Linked DNA regions of Drosophila melanogaster. The protein of the gene in region 1 interacts with the protein of each later gene in a biochemical or structural test. Each region holds a gene or a part of one and is shown in the gene's direction. Other genes may lie near its edges. The genes, in order: trr, usp and EcR.

The links.
Region 2: the proteins of trr (region 1) and usp form a complex in vitro, tested with the Drosophila melanogaster proteins (one study listed by BioGRID).
Region 3: the proteins of trr (region 1) and EcR form a complex in vitro, tested with the Drosophila melanogaster proteins (one study listed by BioGRID).

What each region holds. Positions count from the first base shown.
Region 1 is NC_004354.4:1,885,010-1,893,393, reverse strand, and holds the start of trr (trithorax-related), read left to right. Parts: upstream 1-3,443; 5' UTR 3,444-3,618; coding exon 3,619-8,384. Other genes in the region: arm (armadillo), read left to right, coding at 1,275-1,564; mRpL16 (mitochondrial ribosomal protein L16), read right to left, coding at 2,165-2,781, 2,851-2,916, 2,999-3,047. UniProt on the Drosophila melanogaster protein: Histone methyltransferase that acts as a coactivator for the ecdysone receptor during development. Specifically trimethylates 'Lys-4' of histone H3, a specific tag for epigenetic transcriptional activation.
Region 2 is NC_004354.4:2,035,755-2,043,952, reverse strand, and holds usp (ultraspiracle), read left to right. Parts: upstream 1-1,641; 5' UTR 1,642-1,906; exon of another isoform or gene 1,907-2,085; intron 2,086-2,308; 5' UTR 2,309-2,492; intron 2,493-2,566; 5' UTR 2,567-3,039; coding exon 3,040-4,566; 3' UTR 4,567-5,155; downstream 5,156-8,198. Other genes in the region: CG4325 (uncharacterized protein), read left to right, coding at 226-347, 540-894. UniProt on the Drosophila melanogaster protein: Receptor for ecdysone. May be an important modulator of insect metamorphosis. Plays an important part in embryonic and post-embryonic development. Binds to ecdysone response elements (ECRES) such as in the promoter region of s15 chorion gene.
Region 3 is NT_033778.4:6,125,193-6,133,727, reverse strand, and holds the start of EcR (ecdysone receptor), read left to right. Parts: upstream 1-1,886; 5' UTR 1,887-2,610; coding exon of another isoform or gene 2,611-2,662; intron 2,663-8,535. UniProt on the Drosophila melanogaster protein: Receptor for ecdysone. Binds to ecdysone response elements (ECRES) following ecdysone-binding, and recruitment of a complex containing the histone methyltransferase trr, leads to activate transcription of target genes.

The sequences.
Region 1 (8,384 bases):
TCATATGCGTAAGAAGAGACCCTCGTACCCATCGTACCCCTCGAGCCACACCCCAAGAAGAAGAATCCTGCATAACCCCACTAAAAAGTAAACCAACGGAAACGTTAACAGGTTCAGACAATTCGAAAAATCCTCGGGACCAGCCCCAAACCCCCGCATCCATTTAATCGTTATCATGTCTGTTCATCATTCAAATATGCACTTGTTAATCGAAACTAAGACGTTAAGCTCACTTTAGTTTCTTCAGTGTGAGCGAAACCCTCTTCCACCCAGTTCCCTCGCTTGATCTCAATATCTCTGTCTCCTTGCTCGTTACCCCCTAATATCGTTAAACCCTTGAGTTCCACGGCTGCATGCGAAGGAAGTGAATATAACTCCGCCTGTTTCCATTTGCGGTATACAAACATTTGTCGATAAATCCAAATCTTGTGCATCCGATGCCCGACATTGGGCGCCAATTATGTCAATAAGGGATAATAGGGATAAACTTCAGTCTTTTGCGGGATTACTTCCCCTGCTCTCTCACATTTGGAAAAGAATATCTATCTCTCCGGACTTTACACGTAGCTTGAAGATTTTTGCACTACACACACACACGAACACCGATCTACCACAAATAACCACAGAGTGCAACCTTAAAAAATAAGGATCGTGAATAGTAAAGAAACACATACGTTTCTTTGATAATTTCGCAAATTTATTGTTTTGTATAAATCTATTTTGTTTCCTTTCATTAGACGGCTTTTATCTTTAAGGTCTCCCTCCATGAAGGAGCAGTAATAAACTTTATTTCGGTTCATACTGCATGTCACGTAGCCTGCGATAATCGCATAGTTTTAGCCACCCACAATCCATATATTTTATGGTGTATATACTCGTATCTAGTTTGTAAGCCGTGTGTGCATGCAAGTTTCAGAGGACGAATTCCAATCGACAATAACGCGTCCATGTCGTGTCGTATTTTAGACGTATTTAGTTCTTTTTAAGCAGTATTCAACGACAGATTTTTGTTGTTTGATACTCTAGGTTAATGTTAAAGGGTCGTCGTGTACGAGTGGAGTCTGCATTTCGTTTGAATCGGCATAAATCCAATAAGTGTGTTGGAAAGATGCATTTTAGATGAGTTCCCGATTAAAGCGAGCAGCAGTGAATCCACTTTTGCAGGACTTCAAGGTGTCGCACCATCTGCCAGTTGACGGCTGGCGGAGATTGTAAATCCTCTCCACTAATCACAATATTCCCTATCATTCTTTGCCCATCTCGTTTGTTCACAGGATATGATACTCTACCAATAGATTCGATGCAGGGTCTGGAGATCAGCAGCCCAGTGGGCGGCGGCGGTGCTGGCGGTGCTCCCGGCAATGGTGGAGCTGTAGGCGGAGCTAGCGGCGGCGGTGGTAACATCGGCGCCATTCCGCCTAGCGGCGCACCAACTTCGCCCTATTCCATGGACATGGACGTTGGCGAGATTGATGCCGGTGCATTGAACTTTGACTTGGACGCCATGCCGACGCCACCCAATGACAACAACAACCTGGCTGCCTGGTACGATACCGATTGTTAGACAAGCCGAGCTAAGGGTAAGGGTCGAGTATCCATTCGACCCCATAACATAAAACACACGAATTCCCATCCCTGCACAATAGCCCTCTTCCACCGGCTTTGATTCCATCCCGGATCCCGGAATCGCGATCACCGAAACTTGACTAGATCAACGAAGGTGTGGATTTTACTTGACAAATACGAGGAGCTGCGGCAGGTCAAAGTTCTGCTTCCAGAACTGAAGTCCGTGGGAGAAGGCTATTTGCTCACACACCATACCCCGCGACAAAGCATACACACACGCATACATGCATAATATTATACATTTATTATAATGCGAACGAAACGGCAAGAAAAACATATTATATGATGCATTACATATTACCCACGTAAACGAAATGGAAAATTAAACAAATGTTTGCAATAGAACTCGTACATTTCCCTTCATATGGCGTTTTTCTTATTTGCTCCACAATTGGGTGCCGCAGAGTCACGGCTTGGAACAACGAGCCCTAAGTTCGAAGTTCGAACCTACTTTAAGATATTTCCAGTTTTCAAAAGTACTTGAAACAGTTTCGTAACAGATTAACGAAGGATGGCTTTATTAATTGAAGCTATACATCTACAGGTGCTTGCCGAACCACTTGTGGTCCACGGGCGAGAGCCAACGGTGGCAGCCGCTGAGGTTGTTCTGGATCACGTACTTCATGGTAAAGGGGTTCTCATTCTGGCGGGTCTGTTCCTCCTCGGCGACGCGCTGTTCGTCGAGCATCTCCTGGGAAACGACGGTGGCCTGGAAGGGCAGCTGGTTGGCCACCTGCTGCAGGAACTGCTTGACCTCAACGAACTCGCACTTGCCGGCTATCTCGACAATGACGCGACCGGCCTTGATGGGGGTCACGTAGTGGTCGATGGCTCCCTTTCCGCCGCCCATCCGTTGGCCCTGGCCCTTCTTAGTGATCGGCTGCCAGGGTGCGGGAACGCGCCATGTGGCGAACATAGTGTTGACGTTCATCTTGCGTCCGATGGTCAAACGCATCATTTCGTAGTGGCCCCAGCGCAGGCGCCCTCCGCCAGTGGCCACGATTGCGTACTGCTTATGGAGCAGCGTGTTGTGCACCATCTCCGGACCGCGCATGTATCGCAGGCGCTTCTGCATCTTTGGCGGACGGATGTTTGGCGGCAGCTGGGGCTGGCGCTCAATGACCCTCAGCTTGGGTCTCTCCGGCTGCTCCACATCTGGGGGTTCCCACATTCATTCATTTATTGCTCTAAATTCATTGTGCACATTTAAATGCAACTACTTACTCTGGTATTTAATAGGCGGAGCGAAATACTTAAGACCGGCTGTGTTGACAATTGCCATGTTGCCCGCTGCAAAGAAAAGTTTAAGTGGTTTGTTGCAAACTGTTATCGGATTGGATGTGGCTAGGCAGGAAGCGCCACTGCAACTTACACGCAAGGCTTTGCTTAAAGAGCTGGGAGACTAACTTTAATGAGAGCATGGTGAGTTTATGTCAAAATATATTACTTATTTATAAAATTGTATTGTGCAAAGATGTGTTGCATCAACGGCCACCGTTGCCAGATCGAGCTAATAAATGTGGTGCTAAAAACATATATCGATAGACCACCGATTGGTCGAGTGAGCTGACGGCCCTGTCCAGACTATGGTTTATTCTTGCAGTTGAAAATGTGCCATATTGCACGTGGAACACAATAATTATGTTATGTATTAAAAACTTCTGAAGTTAACGAAAAATGATTGCTGTACAAACGTTATTCGATTGCAACCGCCATGGCGATATGTTGAAATGGGATGGGAAAAGTGGTGGGTTTCTGAGTGGAAAACCAGGGATGGGTAAGAACGTTTCAGGGTAATGGTCGTTTTACCATCTGGTAACACTGCTCTGCATACACGAAAATAAAATTTTTTTGACTAATCGTGCATGTTTTCGCTCGGTAAAAAAAAAAGCAGGCCGCGCGAGCCCTAGCTAGCTAGACCGCCGCCCTTCCCGTCCCACGAAACGCAGCGCATCGCATCCGGCGTTCCGCGTTTCCACTTGTGTGTTTGTTATGAATATACCGAAGGTGACAACATCGCTTGGTGCCGCCGAAAAGGCGAAACCCGAAAGAGTAGCATCCGTGGCCGCCGCTGCCTTCAATGCGGTCAGCCTGCAGAAGCGCAGCGGCGACGACACCGCCACTCCGGCGGAGGATCCCACGCGCAAGAAGGCCAAGACGGAGCTGCTTCTCGGAACTGGAACGGCAGCGCCCAGTTTGCCCGCCAAAGCGTCGAGCACCGCGCCGCAGCAGCTCCTCTACCAGCGGAGTGGACAGCAGGCTAAGGCGCAGGTAAAAGCTGCGTCGGAGCCGCAGGATGTCGAGACGGCGGACGGCGTCTGGGACGCCCGCGATCAGCAGATCATAGTGTGCAACTTCGGCTCCGGCACTGAGATGGGTGCCATCAAGGCGGAGGACGCTGACAAGCAGAGTGAGTACAGAATCAGCACTCCAAGGAACAGTCAATCTAACCCTTTGCTACACCGAAACACAGCCTTTACCAGCTTTACCAAAAAGGAGGGTGCCTCATCGTCGGCCTCGTCATCATCGTCAACCGCGTCCGTCATTTCCATCGAGCCCAGTGGCTCGGGGCAGGATCATGCTGAAAACTCCGGCAAATCTGAGGACCTCGACTACGTACTGATGCCAGCCAGCGGCGCGGATAGCTCTACATCTGTGGGTAACTCCACCGGAACGGGAACACCAGCAGGAACGCCTATTGGAGCTACTACCTCCACCATTATTTTAAACGCTAACAACGGAACGGCAGGAGTCAGTGGAGCCGGCACCACTACAATCCTCACACAGAAATCCGGTCACACGAACTACAACATCTTCAATACCACGGCCACTGGTAGCCAAACGCCCACTACAACATTGTTAAACCGGGTGAATCTTCACCCCAAGATGAAAACCCAGCTGATGGTTAACGCCAAGAAGCTGTCGGAAGTAACGCAGACCACGGCGAAAGTGTCGATTGGCAACAAGACTATATCGGTGCCGCTGCTCAAGCCGCTGATGAGCGCTAGTGGAGCGGCCACAGCCGGAGGAGCCACGATTGTAGAGAGCAAGCAACTGCTGCAGCCGGGCGGTCAGGTGACTACCGTAATGAGTGCTGCGCAGCAAAGCGGTGGTCAGCAGGTCCACCCGCACGTCCATTCTCATGCACATCACAACTTTACCAAACTTATCAAACGCGGGCCAAAAAATAGCGGCACCATTGTCTCGTTTTCGGGGCTACAGATCAAGCCGGCGAACACCAAAATTGTGGCCACCAAGGTGGTGAGCAAAAAGATGCTGCAACTTCAGCAGCACCAACAACAGATCCAACAGCAGCAGCAGCTTCAGCAGCTGCAGGTGACCAGTGGTGGAGGCCTGGCTCCGCCCACAGGCAGCATAGTGACTATCACCACCACCAACCCCAGCCAAACGTACGCAATGGTTCAGGATTCCGCAACTGTGGGACCTGCGGCCCATTCGGAAGACGATGCGCCAGCGCCTCGAAAGATTACAGCCTACTCGGAGAACCTTCAAAAAATTCTCAACAAGAGCAAGTCCCAGGAATCGACTGGAGGCCCGGAGGAGTTCACCAACATCAACAGCGTGGTGATTAAGCCGCTCGACAAGAATACACTCAATTGTCCACCCAGCTTTAACATCTTTAAGCAGCAGCAGCACTCACAGGCTGCTCAAAGCCAATCAATCTCCGCGGTAGGCAGTGGAGCAGGCACACCCGTGACGTTTACCATGGCTTCGGGGAATGCCTCAGATCTGGCCACCACCTCCACCGTTTCCGTTTCGGCGGGGACCATCTGCATAAACAGTCCGATGATGGGCACGCGGCCAATAATCTCCATTCAGAACAAGAACATATCCCTGGTGCTGTCCAAGACGACCATGGCCCAGCAAAAACCGAAGATGATAACTACAACCACGTTGTCCAGTCAGGCGGCGCTGCAGATGCATCATGCTTTGATTCAGGATTCTAGTGCAGACAAGGCGGGATCTTCTGCAAACTCCGGATCAGCTACCTCGGGAGCTTCAATGCAGCTGAAACTAACGACCGCCAATACGCCCACCAAACTCAGCGTTAGTCTGGCTCCGGACGTAGTCAAGCTGGAAGAAGTTGGCAGCGAATCTAAAGCAAAGCTACTGGTCAAACAGGAGGCGGTTGTGAAGGATAGCACTGGTACTCCGACCAGTGAGGAGCGGGCTGAGGAGATCGGCACGCCGGAGAAGCGTTTGAACGCCAATGCCACAATGACGGCTATTAACCAGGTTCAAAATCAGTCCGCCAATCAAATTCAAATGGCCACATCTACCTCAACTGCCTCGAATCCCAGCACACCCAATCCTACAGTGAACGCCACACCTATGAACAACCAACGCTCGGCAGCGGAGGATAATGCACTTCTAAAGCAACTGCTCCAAAACAACAGCAGCAGTCATAGCCTCAACCAGATAAGCATCACTTCGGCTCACGTTGGTTCCGCCTCAGCTTCGGCACCTCTTTCCGCCCGCAAGGTTATCAACGTACGGGCGCCCAGCATGGGGAAGGTCAGAAGTTTGGAGGATCAACTGGCACGTCCGGTGATTCCTCCGGTGCCCACTGCCACGCAGGCGGCAGGTAGTAGTAGTAGCAGTGGATCTGTGGCCACGTCCACCACCACCACAACAGTAGCTAGCGGAGGAAGCAGCCAACAGGTAGCCACCGCCTCAGCGACGGCTCTACCTGTTAGTGCGGTCGCAATTACCACACCAGGAGTGGGAGGGGAGGCAAAGCTGGAGCAGAAATCCGATCAGCCAGCAGCAATTATGCAGAATCAGAGCCAAAACCAGGCGCCTCCACCACCACCGCCACCACAGCAGCAGCAGCAGCAGCAACTACACCAGCCGCAGCAGCTGCAACCGTCACCCCACCAAGTCAAGCAGACTGTGCAGATTGTGTCGAAGGAGACGTCGTTCATCTCAGGACCCGTTGCTGCTAAAACACTAGTGACGGAAGCCACTTCGAAGCCGGCTGAACTACTACCTCCTCCGCCTTACGAAATGGCCACTGCTCCTATATCGAACGTCACCATATCCATATCCACCAAACAAGCGGCTCCGAAGGAACTGCAGATGAAGCCCAAGGCGGTAGCTATGTCACTACCCATGGAGCAGGGCGACGAATCGCTGCCAGAGCAAGCGGAGCCGCCGCTTCATTCGGAACAGGGAGCTACTGCAGCGGGAGTTGCACCTCACTCCGGAGGTCCCCTTGTGTCTGCGCAATGGACCAATAACCATTTAGAAGGAGGTGTAGCCACCACAAAGATACCGTTCAAGCCTGGAGAGCCTCAAAAACGCAAGCTCCCCATGCACCCACAACTGGACGAAAAGCAGATCCAGCAACAGGCAGAGATTCCCATAAGCACCTCCCTACCAACAACTCCGACTGGACAAGGTACTCCCGACAAAGTACAGCTGATCTCAGCGATTGCCACTTATGTAAAGAAATCCGGTGTCCCGAACGAGGCACAACCCATCCAGAACCAGAGCCAGGGCCAGGTGCAGATGCAGGCGCAAATGCAGGCGACTATGCAAGGACACCTGTCTGGGCAGATGTCCGGACAAATCTCCGGACATGCCGCTGGACAGATACCCGCTCAAATGCATTTGCAAGTACAGCATCAGCTCCATATGGCAGTTCATCCACAGCAGCAGCAGCAGCAACTGCACCAGAACCAACCACAGAATGCGACGATTCCCCTTCCAGTTACTGGACAGGGTGCAGTGCCCATCCCCGTGCCCACCATGGAGAGCAAGGCAGGCGACCAAAGGAAGCGCCGCAAACGTGAGGTCCAGAAGCCGAGGCGCACAAATCTGAACGCCGGACAAGCGGGTGGAGCTCTTAAGGATCTAACAGGTCCACTACCGGCAGGTGCAATGGTCCAACTGGCAGGAATGCCGCCGGGGACCCAGTACATACAAGGCGCGGCATCAGGGACTGGTCATGTGATCACCAGTACCGGACAAGGAGTTACTTTGGGAGGAGTGGGCGCCAGTACTGGAGCCAGTTCCTCGCCCATGCTCAAGAAGCGGGTTCGCAAGTTCTCCAAGGTAGAAGAGGATCACGATGCATTTACCGAGAAGTTGCTGACGCACATCCGCCAAATGCAGCCGCTTCAAGTTCTGGAGCCGCATCTCAATCGCAACTTTCACTTTCTTATCGGGAGCAACGAGACTTCTGGAGGTGGTTCGCCCGCCTCAATGAGTTCTGCGGCTTCTGCCGGATCATCATCGGCTGGAGGAGGAAAGCTGAAGGGCGGATCTCGAGGCTGGCCACTGAGCAGGCATTTGGAAGGTCTGGAGGACTGTGATGGCACCGTTCTCGGCCGCTATGGTCGAGTGAATCTGCCAGGGATACCCTCGTTGTACGATAGCGAACGCTTTGGCGGAAGTAGAGGTCTAGTTGGTGGATCTGCACGAACCCGTTCACCCTCGCCAGCAGAGTCTCCGGGAGCAGAAAAGATGCTACCAATGTCTAGCATCCAAAATGATTTTTATGACCAGGAGTTCTCCACGCATATGGAGCGCAATCCTAGGGAACGCCTGGTGCGGCACATTGGAGCCGTCAAGGATTGCAATTTGGAGACCGTAGACCTGGTGGAGAGCGAGGGCGTAGCTGCGTGGGCGACTCTTCCACGACTTACCCGCTATCCGGGTCTAATACTGCTCAATGGAAACAGCCGTTGCCATGGACGGATGTCGCCGGTCGCACTGCCGGAGGATCCGCTGAC
Region 2 (8,198 bases), 150 kb from region 1:
GCAGTGCAGGGGAGTGCTCGAGAGGGCCGACGAGTGACGACAAGAGGAGGACCGAGTGGAGTGTACTGTGGCTGCCTGGACGCTTATCAGCAAAACGCTCGATTCAGCGACTTGCATTCATTCAGTCCCCTGTCACCGGCCGAGCAACAATACGGCACAGGGAGATCGAACCTGATTGGATCGGAGCGAATCGAATCGACCTAGGTATAAGTCAACCGGAGCGGAATGGGCCGTAACAACGTCATCTGCACGATCTGCTCGGAGCGGTTTCGCACCTCGGACAATATACAAGCCGGCAGCTGCGGACACGCGTTCCACGAGGACTGCCTAGACCACTGGAGAAAGCAGTAAGTAAAAGTGATCCTAAGGACTTGAGAGCTATAACGAAAATGAAATGTGCCACTGATATAATATTCTAATTTATGCACCAATCAGAAATGAAAATGATACAAAAGTGATTTAAATCAGTGGCAGTGCCCCAAATCTTATCGCCGAGCTCAAACGTTTTGTCTTATACGCGGATTCCGTCTGCTTTGCAGATCAAGGACTTGCCCTATCTGCCGCAGCCAGGATGCCGCCTACTTTCAGCTTTATCTGGACTTTGAGGAGTTTCCGGAAAGTGCATCGGCTCAGGGTGGCAGTTGGGGCGGCCATAATCGGAGCCAAGGTCACAGCAGCAGCAGCAGCAGCTGCAGCAGCAACAACAACAACAGTAACGACAACAGCAGCAGTGACGATTATATTGGAATTATGAGGGAGTACGAGAATCTACTTTACGAGACGGGCGTGTACCGAGAAGAGATCGAATATCTTAACCAGCGGATCGGAGCCCTTACTGTCCTCAATGCTGAACTCAGCAAACTACATGAATGTTCGGATTCGGATGTTGATTAAAAGCCGTAAACAAACAAACGAGTCGCATTTGCTTATCGTACTATTCGCCTGAAAACCAATCAAAACCGAATATTTGCGAAACCGACAGGCAAAACGTAATAAGGCTGAGCTAAACAAAAGAACTCGATACATTTCATTATAAAGGAAGCGGTAGGTACAGGGTTAGCAACTAAAGGGTTTGACAAGATAATAGACCCAAATAGAAATAAATTGTTTAGGGCTGAGGCCCCAAATTGCGATATCAGAAAATTAAACTGATAGAAAATATCACATATTAGTGTATTTTTTGTATACCAATAATCAAATAAATATTAAGAATATATGTCCTGAATGTCAATTTTGATGTGAAAACTCTATTTCCATTCCCTTAAACTGTTTTAAAATAAGCTTCTTAATTTGATAGTGTTAAGCAAATTTTTTTCTATATAAATTTTGAATCTCCCATTTTTGTTCTAAACCGGTATCGAATTTTAAGGCAGATGTTAGGGTGCTCTTGAATTACTGAATCCCTGCTTCTTGGTCATCGCGGAAATTCATTTTTTAGAAATTTACTGCGGTCTAACTATCGCATAAATATATAAAATACATAAATATCCATGACGGATTAATTTTCAGATTTTCTGACCATTAAGCGAAGTGGAAACAGCCTATAATGTGCCATTGTTTTTTACCGAACCAAGGCAACTCACCGCGACAGTATACTCACCACAGACAAACCAGTTCTTCGCCCCCCGCAATCGCTTTCTCACCACGCTGTCAGCTGTTGTTTCGCGAAATGCTTCTTCTTGCGAATGCCAATTACCGCGTCGCGTCTCTTTGTGATGATGGGATGGACTCAATTACTACAATTACAATAGAGATTGCAACAAATTAAATCAGCGTCGTGTGGTGTTGTCGTGTCAGTGACGTGCCTGTGTGTGTGTGTGCTCGCGAGCACTGATAACTGATAGCCAAGGAAAAAAGTAAATAAACAACCGTCACCTTGCGGCGCATCAAAAGCCACTGGCTGCAAGTAAGTTGCACTTCCATTTGCATTTCGCCCAATTCTGGTTCCGTTTGGTCTTGGGATTCACGGTTCAGCAGCCTAACCGCTCGATTCTCGGCGACGGCGTTTGCGATTTGAGGCCGAGGTTGCCGCCGGCAGCGGTGAAATTGGCGCACATTCACGTCTCCATTTTGCATTTCTATTCTGCATAATTGCAGCGGCGCTAAATTATTTGTGCACTGTGTGGTTTGCAAGGCGGTGAGGAGGGGAGCCAGACTGACTCAGGGTTGCATGCGCCGTAGGTGCGGTGAGTTTTGCAATGGCGCCGCCAGGGCTGTCGCTACTCCCGTTTTCTGGTTTTCGACTAAATTAATTAATTGATTGATTGCGCATTGGTTATCAAAGTAAAAACACTTATTTTTGCGGCAGGTGCGATGGGCATTAGCGCTTTAATTGGGTCATTAACGCCCACTTAAAACTGTTTCTGTGAGTGGGAAAACAGCCCTGTCCACTTTGTGGTGAATTAGAGATGCGATTGCGCCCAGTCACGAATCCGTGCTTCAATTGGGAGACCGATATATGTACTTATGTCGTGCATTAATTAAAAAGAGGAGTATGTAATTTTATAGATGCGTTATATACCATATGACTTAAGGTAATACCATCGCCGTTGTTAATTTTATACAGTGTTTAACAGTCGTGACTGTGACTCGTGACGACGCAACCTGTGTCACAGTCCATCCCTACGTTGGTGAGTTGCGTCGCTGTGGTGAGATTGTCTTTGTTGAGAAAAAATGTCGACGCGAAAAAAGGTATTTATTCATTAGTCAGAAAGTCTGGCATTCTTTGTTTGTTGGTAAAAAGCGCAATTGTTTGGAGGCGAGCGAATAAAGTGCGCTGCTCCATCGGCTCAAGATTATGTAAATGCAGCAACGACCCCACCAACAACGAAACTGCAACCTGCTCCACTTGGCCCAACGGACCAATAGCGGACGGACGGACACGGTGGCGTTGGCAAAGTGAAACCCCAACAGAGAGGCGAAAGCGAGCCAAGACACACCACATACACACGAAGAGAACGAGCAAGAAGAAACCGGTAGGCGGAGGAGGCGCTGCCCCCAGTTCCTCCAATATACCCAGCACCACATCACAAGCCCAGGATGGACAACTGCGACCAGGACGCCAGCTTTCGGCTGAGCCACATCAAGGAGGAGGTCAAGCCGGACATCTCGCAGCTGAACGACAGCAACAACAGCAGCTTTTCGCCCAAGGCCGAGAGTCCCGTGCCCTTCATGCAGGCCATGTCCATGGTCCACGTGCTGCCCGGCTCCAACTCCGCCAGCTCCAACAACAACAGCGCTGGAGATGCCCAAATGGCGCAGGCGCCCAATTCGGCTGGAGGCTCTGCCGCCGCTGCAGTCCAGCAGCAGTATCCGCCTAACCATCCGCTGAGCGGCAGCAAGCACCTCTGCTCTATTTGCGGGGATCGGGCCAGTGGCAAGCACTACGGCGTGTACAGCTGTGAGGGCTGCAAGGGCTTCTTTAAACGCACAGTGCGCAAGGATCTCACATACGCTTGCAGGGAGAACCGCAACTGCATCATAGACAAGCGGCAGAGGAACCGCTGCCAGTACTGCCGCTACCAGAAGTGCCTAACCTGCGGCATGAAGCGCGAAGCGGTCCAGGAGGAGCGTCAACGCGGCGCCCGCAATGCGGCGGGTAGGCTCAGCGCCAGCGGAGGCGGCAGTAGCGGTCCAGGTTCGGTAGGCGGATCCAGCTCTCAAGGCGGAGGAGGAGGAGGCGGCGTTTCTGGCGGAATGGGCAGCGGCAACGGTTCTGATGACTTCATGACCAATAGCGTGTCCAGGGATTTCTCGATCGAGCGCATCATAGAGGCCGAGCAGCGAGCGGAGACCCAATGCGGCGATCGTGCACTGACGTTCCTGCGCGTTGGTCCCTATTCCACAGTCCAGCCGGACTACAAGGGTGCCGTGTCGGCCCTGTGCCAAGTGGTCAACAAACAGCTCTTCCAGATGGTCGAATACGCGCGCATGATGCCGCACTTTGCCCAGGTGCCGCTGGACGACCAGGTGATTCTGCTGAAAGCCGCTTGGATCGAGCTGCTCATTGCGAACGTGGCCTGGTGCAGCATCGTTTCGCTGGATGACGGCGGTGCCGGCGGCGGGGGCGGTGGACTAGGCCACGATGGCTCCTTTGAGCGACGATCACCGGGCCTTCAGCCCCAGCAGCTGTTCCTCAACCAGAGCTTCTCGTACCATCGCAACAGTGCGATCAAAGCCGGTGTGTCAGCCATCTTCGACCGCATATTGTCGGAGCTGAGTGTAAAGATGAAGCGGCTGAATCTCGACCGACGCGAGCTGTCCTGCTTGAAGGCCATCATACTGTACAACCCGGACATACGCGGGATCAAGAGCCGGGCGGAGATCGAGATGTGCCGCGAGAAGGTGTACGCTTGCCTGGACGAGCACTGCCGCCTGGAACATCCGGGCGACGATGGACGCTTTGCGCAACTGCTGCTGCGTCTGCCCGCTTTGCGATCGATCAGCCTGAAGTGCCAGGATCACCTGTTCCTCTTCCGCATTACCAGCGACCGGCCGCTGGAGGAGCTCTTTCTCGAGCAGCTGGAGGCGCCGCCGCCACCCGGCCTGGCGATGAAACTGGAGTAGGGTCCCGACTCTAAAGTCTCCCCCGTTCTCCATCCGAAAAATGTTTCATTGTGATTGCGTTTGTTTGCATTTCTCCTCTCTATCCCTTATACCCTACAAAAGCCCCCTAATATTACGCAAAATGTGTATGTAATTGTTTATTTTTTTTTTATTACCTAATATTATTATTATTATTGATATAGAAAATGTTTTCCTTAAGATGAAGATTAGCCTCCTCGACGTTTATGTCCCAGTAAACGAAAAACAAACAAAATCCAAAACTTGAAAAGAACACAAAACACGAACGAGAAAATGCACACAAGCAAAGTAAAAGTAAAAGTTAAACTAAAGCTAAACGAGTAAAGATATTAAAATAACGGTTAAAATTAATGCATAGTTATGATCTACAGACGTATGTAAACATACAAATTCAGCATAAATATATATGTCAGCAGGCGCATATCTGCGGTGCTGGCCCCGTTCTAAATCAATTGTAATTACTTTTTAACATAAATTTACCCAAAACGTTATCAATTAGATGCGAGATACAAAAATCACCGACGAAAACCAACAAAATATATCTATGTATAAAAAATATAAACTGCATAACAAGATATATGGTCGTTTTATCTGCGGATCTGCGATTAATCCCATTGTCCACACAAATATATGGCTTTATTTGCGTATATAAGCGGTGCGTTTCAGGACTGTAAGAAGAAATCGAGTGACTTTCTCGAAGGCGGAAATGTATATACATCCATGCCTATTTGCGCGGATGTTTCAATATTTCAGTTTTATTATTATAAATCATACTATGTTCTGTTCCGCCTAACAAGTTTTGTATTACTAGTTAAATTAGTTATTCTGCCGGCCCCTTGGGTGGCTTTCTTTTTTTTTTTAATATATCTGTGATATAATTAGGTGGAGGTAATAAATAAAGTTCACTGCGGAAACTCTTCGAAAATAGCCAGTCTAAATTTAATTCATTTCATTCAAAAGATGATCCCAACGATTTCACGATCTTGTACTTATAATGTGTAAAATGTTAACCAACTAGAAATCCCTTCTATTGTGATTATGAAAGGATCGCTTTTCGCTTTCGAACCGCACTGTACGCCTTGTTCGCGTCCCCTAGGCATTGATTTTTGGTTTGTGGACCATCGCCTGATGGTCCCCACTCCTCACCTTGATGTTGCGGCCTCTCAGATGGCATTTGGTCAATTTTTATAAAATTTATGTCTCAGCGGGAATGTATGTTAGTATGTATTTACAAAAATATGGTATTAACGCACAAGCAGCGACTAAGAATAGATATTGTTTTTGAAAAAAGAACAAAACTCGCCGCTGACGACGCACATTATGTTCTATAAATAGCCAAATTGAGGCTCTATCTCTTTCTATATCGTTGTATCTTATCTGTATATCTCGCCCCAAAGGAATATCTGTAAATTGGGACAAGTCGACGGATACAATACTTAGCCGTCGGAGATCCTGGCTATTTAACATGAACGTATTCTCAGATTCTCCATTCACACAAATGATCTAGAGCTTTTGAAAGCTCCCACACAGAGTGAAAGAGAGGGGTAGAATGTTAGAGAGAGACGGCAGTGTGTCCACACTTATTGTGGGTGGTTTTTATTGGTTTAGCTAATAGCTATCCTTGATTTTGTGTGTGGCGAGCATATTTAATAAATTTCATAAATTTCATCTCTCTCCACCGACAAGAAGAAGCCCACACAAATAGTCCTATGTAGCAGCGTGTTAAAAAATGTGGAATGAAAAATGAAATGTTTCGCACGGAAAAACCATGAAAGCATGCCAATAAAATCATGTGTCCCCTCCCCTCCTCCTCCAAATACCCACCACCATTTCCTTCGACGATTTGCGATTTCGTGTGTGTATTGGAAAAGAGTTTTCGAAGCGAAATTAACAATTTGCTATTTTCGTAGTTATGCGGGGGCGTTTGCCAAAGACCCACGAGGGGACTATGGGTGGATGCTGTCTGAACCGCGGAGACTCGCTGACAGACGAGGAGAAAACCAAGGAGGTGGGGCGTCAGACGCGCTGACGTAGGGGCCAACAAGTTGTTGTCGTCTTCGCATATCGCGCACAGCATACGCCATACAGGGTGCCCCTTTTGAGCTCTCTTACTTTCTTTGCGTTACTTCGTGTCGCCTGCAACTGCATTTTCCTACCAATTTCACTAATGGGCGTCCGTCCGAGAGCTCTCTTCGTCACAGCCGCAGCAAAAGCAAGGGGAGCAGGCAGCACCGCAGCTGCAAATGAGCAAAAAGCAGAAAGAAGGAGTTCGGAACTGGCGATACCCATTGCTTTTAGAAGACAGTCCAATGGCCAGACTATTTGGCTCATACCCAGGTCCTAATTACCTGATCGTTCAACAAACTCATGTTCAGGACATTCGTACATATACGTATATTCATCATAATCAGAATGTATCGGAATTGTGTTGATTTCTAAACGAGACGAGTGAAAGTCCACGAAAGCAGCATGCCCGCACTTCATCGTTCAACTAAAGGGTCCCACGAATCGTACGCTTATGCTGGCCGAATTCATACTTTCTTCTGCCACCCACTCCCACTCCGGCACTCTTGCCGCTCCACTCTTCGTGACTCGGATGTTCGCATGTTCGGATGCTTGGATGCTCGGATGCTTGGATGCTTGGATGCTCGGATGCTCGGATGTTGGGGTCTTCGGCTATGGCAAGCGATCCAAACTGATCCGATTCGATCCGATGCTCCCGCTGCACGGCAGACTTTTCTTCTTCCTCTGCGACGGCTGCTGTGGTGCGGTGGGCGATGTGGGGCAGGTGGGTCGGATGGGGGGGTTGGTGTGGTGTGTGTTGGTGCGCCGACGGCAGCGGCGGTGACTGCGACTGCGACGACGACTGCGACGGTATTCAGAGTTAGCAGCTGGCTGGCGCGACATCAGTTTTGAGTTGGCTATCAACGCGAGCGGGTCTTTCTCTTCGCAAGCGACACACGTAGATATTGCTCCAATTGCTGTCCACACAGATTGTTTTGTTGTTTTTGTTTTTGTTTGGTTCGACTACACACACACGAGTAGATATAGATATATATATGTGTACATATATATATATCTGGCTAACCGACTCACTTGCTTTCGTTATACTCTATTTTCTTTTTTTTTTGGGTTATTTTTTTGTACTTGTTTGAAAAATAAATATAAAAACGAAATATTAAAAAAAACGAGCAAAGCAAAATATAAGTAACGAAAACTGTGCATGTGTGTGAGGTGTGTGTGTGTGTGCGTGCGATGGTTATATATGCCAAACCACATATATCTTTATATATATATATCCGAACAATATGTGCGTATATATGATCTATGTGGAGAGTCAAAGTGCTACCAATAAAAAACTAGACACAATAAAAGGAACGAACCGAGAGTATATCGATCTATATTTACCGGATCAGTTCCGATTTCCGATCCGAATTCGCGCTATTTCTCAAAATTATTTCAAATATGTACCAATCCCGTACCGTCCTTCTCCGCCCCCGGCCCGCCCACTTCCCTTCGCTGCGTTGACGTTGACGCCGAAAATAAAACTTTTTCAAAACATACTATTTTTAACCGATACGATACGATACGAAACGGAACGAGCGCGGAAAACA
Region 3 (8,535 bases), on another chromosome or scaffold:
CAAAGCTAGACAAACTCTCTCACGCTCGCATGCAGCTACACAGATACATATAGGAAAGCACAGATACATGTTGCACCCATACTCTAAGCAATTGCTCCAGTGTACTACTGAACTGAGAGTCGTTTGGCAGTCGGCCAAGAGGGAAAAGGATAGTGGAGGAGAGGGGAACGAGACGTGTGGAGGAGTGGAGAATGTGGGGAAGGACGAAAGAGAAGAAAATCATCATAGACGCAGTTATGGGTTGCAGCTGTGTTTGTATTGGTATACCCAAACAAATAGAAGTAGAGAAACATAGGAAGAGATAGAGAGAGGCAAAGTCTCTTTCACGCCCCCGACACCAAGCCGCTGCCGTCCCCACTACTCAGCTGTCATTGTTGATATTTTGTGTTTTCATCTTGAACTTTTGTGGTTCAATGTGTCTAGCCAACCCCAAACAGAGCGAAACTCACCACATGCTAACCACTGTCACCGTCAGTACGACCACCCCCACAGTCCCGCACCACCTTGCCCTTGCATTTTGCCGGCTTTTCTATGCGTATGCGTAGAGAGCGAGGTCGTCTCTCTCGCTCTGGCAAATGCAATTCTCTATTGCATTCTACACTTGAACTTGCCCAGCGTCAACTCAACGCACACAGCGACGTTAAGTAAATACGTAGCGATTCGAATGATGGGGCTGGTGGTGGGGGGAAGGGATGGGCAAACAATTATCTGCAGCGATGTGTGCGTATCTGTATCTGAGTATCTCAGCTCGCTTTGCGCTGACTTTTTAACCACAATGTATTCGAAACGTGCAATTTATACGTCGCCCAGCAGACGGCGGTGATACGTGTATGTGTATGTATACATACGTACATACTCATAGATACTGTTGTGGCTGTTAGTTTGATCTGCGTTCTGTTTACCCTCCTGGTGATCTTTTTCCTTTCCGTCAATTACGTCTCGTAGTGTCAATATTCTGCTTCAAACAGCGGTGTCTACTGACTTCAGGTGGATTTCCCTTCCAACGAATGGAAAACAGTCCTTCGGAGGACTCTCTATGGTTTTCTAACTCGATCTTATTTATTATTCATTCAGCTGACGTGAGAAAGTATTTTTGGCCACATGAAACGTTTTCATTGTTTTCTTGTTGAGATATTTGCTACATATATGTATTCAAATAATAAAGTTTAAAGGGACACTGAAAAATGCAATTGATGTTAGAGATTATTGAAAATAAAACTTGGAATGTATCGAAAAGGTGAAGTAGAGAGACTGTAATTTAAGCTAAATATTTCAACTTATCCTACTTTTAATTATTGCAAGTTGTGGCACTCCTTCCGATTTATTATGGACCCTTTCGTCCCACTATGCGAGAATATTTCAAATGTACGTACATACGTGTGAATTTGCACTTGTGCACCCGAAAGTAGCGATGAACGAAAACGAACGAAAAAAAAAAACAATAAATAAATGTAGAAAACCGAAAATAAAGCAGCAAGAAATGAAAGCGATGATGGCACTCATACTCACGCATACACGGCCATATACGCTCGCACACAACTCACAGATACGTGCCGGAGAGCGGACAAAGAGTATTCCACGATTGCAATTGCATCGGCATTTTCATTCAAGCCGCTTGCTCAGAGTGTGTGTCTGTGGCTGTGTGAGTGAGTGCTGCCTGCGTTTCACATTTATCTTTAGCGCCGATTCCGCTTTTAACTCTCGCTCTTTTAGCGCCATGGTGTGCGTGTCTGGTGAGTTTACTTTGGTGTGCGTGCCAGTGTGGTGAGTTTGAGCGTTTAACATTCTGCTCGTCTCGCTCATTGATTTAGTATTTTTTTGGACTTTGTTGTTAACGGTTGTTCGCTCGCACGTACGAAGCCCGATCGCGTTCGTCAAAAAACAAGATACAAAATACAGCACACACAATTGAAAACGACAACCTAACAGTACGGTTTCCCAAAGCACCTTACATTTCAAAACCGAAAACCCCCAAAATGTTGTAACCAAATAATGTTTAAATCACATATACACCTACATATATTTATGAAAAATTGTTAGACAAATCCCAAATAATACCAGTTCCCCCAACAACCGCAACAAACACAAGTGCAATTCATCGGCAAAAATTAATATAAAGTGCAAATGCATTGTAGCTGAAACTCAAACAATAGTAAAAATACATACATAAGTGGTGAAGAAGCAAAAGGAAATAGTTCTTAAAATAACGCAAATCGAGAGCATATATTCATATTTGTACAGATATTATATGGCGGCTGCATAGTGCAAACTGCGGCTGAGGGAATACAGCGGTATCGAAATGTAAATAGGAAACAACGAAGCCAGAACTCGAAATCAAACATCAGCAACGTGACACACAGACATAAGACGCCCGTCTAGTCGTGGTCTGTGGAACGCTAGCTCCGCTTTGCCAGGAGCCGGAGACTTTTTCCGCATCCACAATATTACATATGTACATATATCGAAGATAGTGCGCGAGTGAGTGAGGGATTTGTGCCGTGGATCCCGATCCCCTTACATATATATAAAGGTAGTGAAAAGATTTTACTCAACATTCCAAATAGTGCTTTGTCAACTGGAATACCTTTTGTTCAAATACGCAGTGGGCCCATGGATACTTGTGGATTAGTAGCAGAACTGGCGCACTATATCGACGCATATGGTGAGTGTGGGCACCTTGGAATCCAATAGAACCAAGCGCTTTTCCATAACAACATTTTGTGGTCAACTGCTTAACGAAAGATCTGAGTTAGGCAACAAGTTCGCTGTTCGGAGCCGAAAACTATTTTCGATTTGTTCAGGCCCTAATGTGTTTGTCTTGGCGCACTTGTCACTTCGCGTGCGCAAAATCAATTTCCATTTCTTATTCATCCAGCCGAAATGAAAACTACATTACCATTAGATCTTTTCAATGCCAAGATACACAGATCATATGTTCGCATAGCTGAATACATGCTGTACATACAGACATTATGATGTCCCAAAAAGATACACATGCTTGGGATGGGGGTTCGATTGGCAATACATTAATTATGGTCATGACAACTGACAGACGGTCAAGACAGAACGTTGAAAATTGTGTATTTCGCCTGCGTAAACATAATCAAGCCTCTTTCGGGCCACCATAGATCCCCGGTGTAGACGAATATGTGCATGTCGGTCTAGGAAAGCACTCGACTGCGTAATTGGCATGTATTTCCATAAATTCAAGTGGGCATTCAGTGAATTCAGCCAACAGATTTACTCTGATTTTCACATATATTCTGTTGATAAGGTTTAATTCGGTGTAAAACGTATTCGATTTATTAAGTGCCGAAAGAACGCTCAAAAATGATTCGATACAGATTGGGCACTTGAATCGTGTTGGAGAAGGTAAAATTGTGGAACATGTAAATGCTGTTCGTCTGAAGAGACTTCACTTTTTGGATCCAATGACTTCAATTGTTAAATGTTCAATTCTACAATAAATGTGTAGTATTTATTTATCTTATTTTTGGTATATTGTTTAATAGGTACTGCGATATATTATTATACATTATAAGGCGAGTCCTCTTGTGCGCTTGGGCTTCCCTATTTTAAAGCGCCTAATGAGGCATTAGGTAACAGCATTAGGTTTGCGCTTAGGTTCCAGTAAAGTCCCCAACATTAGTTTGACTCTCCCACAATTAATTTGTTCCATCCCCCCGACGACACAGACTTACCGCCACCCGTTGGCCTTCGTTTCCTGGGCGGGTCTGGTTAAACTTTCGACTTCATGGCTCTGTTTTTTGATACCCTTTACTCACACAGCATTTAAGTTCTAACGATGACTGAGCTGTGCAAGTTTATTTTTAGTCTCGGCCAAGTCCAATCTAAAGCTCCTAGAAATTCGAATAAGCTCAAAAGCCCTAAGCTGGGTTTTTAAATGAAATTCCTCTACAGGATGCACATAATTCAGAATTGTAGATTTAGTTTTAAACGTGCTAGCGGGTATCTTTTAGTCGAAGCACTCGACTAAAGATTCTCTTTTCCAACTGCTTTTTGCACATTAAGTTTTTCGCTATTTCTTCTTTGCTACACTTTCTGGACACAAACAAAGAGCACAAAAAAAGTAACTTATATCCTATGGCGTCGACAACTTCGTCTTCGCTGCTGTTGTTTATGTTTTATGGGACATTAAAGTGGCCAAATGGCAAATTTTAATGCGATTTTATGCAAATATATAGACACATGTATGTCTATACATGGGATTCAGTGTTGTGGCTTCGCCCAGGCTGAGAAAACCGAGTTACCAGTGCTTTTATGTCGAACCCTCTATGCATTTTTACAATAGTTTGGGGTTCTTAGCTAAATGACTTTGACATGAAGAAATTATACAAGCAAATGGAAACGATCAAAAGATCTGCTTAGTGTTCTGAAAGTCCTACCACAGACATAACAACAATTATGACTACCAAATCCGCACGAATTAAAATGACCCTGGATAATCGAAATACCTTATTTTATATCACAACTGTTTCCAAAGTGTCACACACAACCCCCCTTTAAAAAGGTTCAATGTAACCGCGTCTGGGGGCGACGATACTAATGGGTGCAGACCAGTGGGTCACGAGACAGAACACCACTCCGTTCTTCATCCCCTGGATGGAAATGGGGAACGGGAATGGCAGAAATGGCAAACAGGTGCCATTGTATGTGCTCTTGTATCAATTGCATTGAGTGCCTTATCTTGTCAGCCTTTTCTAGCTGGTTTTCCTTCCCGTTCGGTCTGGATGGACCTAATTTGTGTATGTGCGGTTAAGAGTAGCCTGCCATAAAGCAATCGAGCTTGGAATGAGTTGTGCCTTCTCCCCGACGCTCTTGTGGACTTTCACAGACCAGCAACAAAGTCGAGCTGCCAACACTTTCGCAGACAATCGCCAATGACAGAGAGTTTCCATGACTTTCCACAGTCCAGACAAAACAATTTTATTGTTGTTGTAGATTAGCCGAGCAACGCGAAAATGAACGTAGTTGTAATATAAAGCAAGGTTTAAGTCTTGAAAAACTTGTTCAGATTTTTTAGGGGCAAGCGGATTGTGGCGTTGTCATTCTTAGCATTGACTTTTTCCCTATAACTAATAAACTTAATGGCTTATGCCAAAAAATTACACAAAAAAAAAAACGTTTTTCGTTAGTTGTTTTCAGTATCTTTCCCGAACATGTCTGGTCAATTCAAATTAATTATTTTCATTAAAACAATGTCTTATCCAGTTCAGTTAGTGAGGTTTATTATTTCCTAAGCGTCAACCATGAGTATTGAATCTGGTTTGACACAATGCGCTGTCATTTTATATTGGGTTTAATGTGTCTTCTTTGCTGCCGAAAAGGTCAGACCGTTAGTGTTATTGATTAGAAATGCAAATCGTAGACGCCGCAGAATGGAAGAGAGACACCAACTAACCGGAAAAGGAAATGATTCAAGCACATTTTTGAAGCCGGGCCAGTCAACACTAACCAGTTTTACTACACTTTGGGCCAGCTGTGACTCGTCTATAGGGTTTTTCCTCTTGCCGCCTATTATCTTATTAATCTTATTTATTTTTTAGTTTCTTGATGCTTCAAGGCTATTAAGCCGCATGGGTCTTAAGGACATACAAAGTTTCATATATTATTTGTTATATATTCAATTATTTCCTGTTCTATTAGTTGAAACGCGTGCCCTGTTGCTGTTAAGTGCTCTCAATAAGCCGAAAACGGTCTATCGCGAAATGCTATAAATCTTTTTCGGCCAAGGCATTAAAAAGTTTCTATAGCTTTTATTGCTAATTGATTTTCTGTGCAAAGACTTTGGTCGATAGAATTCAAAAGAAGATGTGAATTATTAAAAGGAAACTCTGGGATATTTAGCTCCGTCAGCAGATCTGCTTGGGAAACAAAGCAGCTGAAGGAATACAGAGCTAAAGAAGCTTTTAATCAAAATGTAGATTCCATGTTATAGCCAACTAATTGAAATCGAAAAATGTTCTAATTATTGCTAACGGAAGCCATAGAATTTCATAATCTGTTAGAGCTAACAAAACTTCATTGAAATCTTACGGTGCAAGTTGTATTCTCAAAACTTACCGCACTGACTCCGACTGAAGCGAATTCCACCAGCTTATTTTGGATTTGTCTTAAACCAAATATTGGATATGTGTCAATTGAATGGCACCATTTTTCATGTTTAACCAAATCAGCAAACTTTTAAAAATTCACCAAATGAGTTCGCGGAATGAAACGCTCAACCTGTTTTTGGTTAAATTTATTATTGTGTTGGGGCTGGTAGTGTGATAAAGAGACAGAGATATGGAAAGAAACAACCGTTAAGTTTGCAGTCCCATGTATATTTTCTCGATAGTTATTCTGATTTGTTTGTTAAGACCTCAATCGTATTGCTTGGTTTTTATTTTGATTTGGATATGTTGTCTTCAACAACTTAAGGCTATGATCCAGAAATTAATAATATTAAATATTTTGTTGCTCTTTAATGTTTTATTTTCTTAATCACACGTGTAAACATCGGAATTTCGGTAGCCATTATATGTAGACTATTAAAACTCCAGGCACACTGCAACACCATTTTTACTTTTAAGGTTACATTTATTTGCTAATGTACATAAATTATTGTTTAATTAATGTTAATATTGTTAAGTTAAGTCCGTCATTGCTAGCAGGTAAATTTGGTTAGTTAAATATCAGGTATCTGATAGTCGATGCACTCGCTTCCCTCTTTTTTGGTTTTCTTGTACGACATAGTAGTCTTGCCCTTTGGTTCTCTTTCTATCTAGAGAGTAGTTTGTGGGAATGTATCGCATATGTTTGCTCCTTCAACTTGTCCCTCTACTAGAGATTCGAAAGGGGGAAGGGTAAGATATTTTCCCTCTGAATCAGCAAATGGAAATCACGCGGCGCTGGTTTTACGTAAAAAAGGAAAATAACAGCAGGAAATTAAAAGGATCCGCTCGCAGAAGTATTCGTTCCTCATTTGCTTGTGTGAGTGTGCTGATGTGGATTTGTGTTGGTGGGCCTATTATTGTATTCCTACTGGACAAGCCGGGAACGGATGTTTAATTGTTTTCGCCCTACCAGAGCAGGCGGCACTACCACAAGCTTATTTGACCACCACCCATTGATTTCAGTAGCGTGTACAACAATTGTTAATAAAGCTTGGATAAGGAAAGGACGTGGAGTAGGAGAGGGTGTGTGGTGTGGGGTACTCCTAACCATCGGGCTTCGCGTGCCAGTCATTGACATACTTTTGCAGAGGAAACGTTCCACCGGGTTATCCCAACAATAATCAGGGGTCAGTCAAGTTTTCGGGGTTAAGGGGTTGAGTTAGGAATCAATGGAATTTTTAGAAAGAATTACTTGCCTTCGATTCAAGAAAATGAGTAGTTCTTAATTTCGGGTTTTAAAATAAATTCACCATATGGTGCTAACAATTTCCTTCAAGATCTCCAACAAAGCATCTTGCCTGAAAGAGACCTATTTAATTTATTAAGATGCAACTTCTAAAAATTTGCATAACTATTTCCGAGTTAATTGACCGCAGATCCAATTCAGATATTATCAGAGCTTTGTTGGCACCAATACATGAACGTGAGTGGAACCTGTTGGCTACTGAAGTTCCCATTACTCTGAACTTTTTACTTTTACGATTCTATAAATAGAGGTGTACGCGCCTACCTTCCTCTCCGTTTTCTGGCTCACCATTCCTCAAATCCATCACTCGAGGCGTAACGAATTTTTCTGCTGGCAGAATTTTCCGTTCTGTTTGGTTCGTATTACTAAAATACGAACAGCGAGCTGGAGAAGCGTAAAGCTATCTGAGTCTGCGCGTTTGGCTTTTTGACGTCGTTTGTACTTCAACCTGAACTCCAGAGGCAGAACACAAAACAGGGATAACCCCAGAAAAGTAAAGTGGGCAAAAGTAAAGTGGCAACGCAACAGAGAACATCAACAAAAACCCAACGACACAACAAAAATGCCATAAATGTCGCGTACGCATGTGTATCGCAGCGCATCCCGCTCATATACACAATACAATATATATGTATGTTGTATGTACATACATATATAATGTGTGTAGTATATTCCGAATGCGATAAATACGCGTTCCGTCTCTGCTTCTTCCGATGTTTTCAGAAATATTTTTGTAGACAACAAAGCAAAAACGGCAAAGAACAACCTGTTTGCATTGTTTTTGTGTTGTTGCTCGACGAATTCTGCCGGCAGCGACGTTGGCAGCGATGGCGACAGGTTTTTTCCTTAATGCGGGCCAAAATCTCGGCTCAGTGCTCCGCCCTCCCCCTTCAATCGAGCGAGCTTAGACTAGTCTTCCCTTTTCTTTTCATTTCTTTTCCTTTTTATTCTGACTGCTTCTTCGCGATTCATCTTGTTCTTCATTTCGCGCTTGATCGAGATTCTTTTCGATTTTTCTAAGCTTTCGCCTTGTCTCGCTTGCTCTTTGGCGCATGAGTACGGCTTAAAACCAGTTTTACTGCCTTATAACACAAAGAGACGAAAAGTTACAGA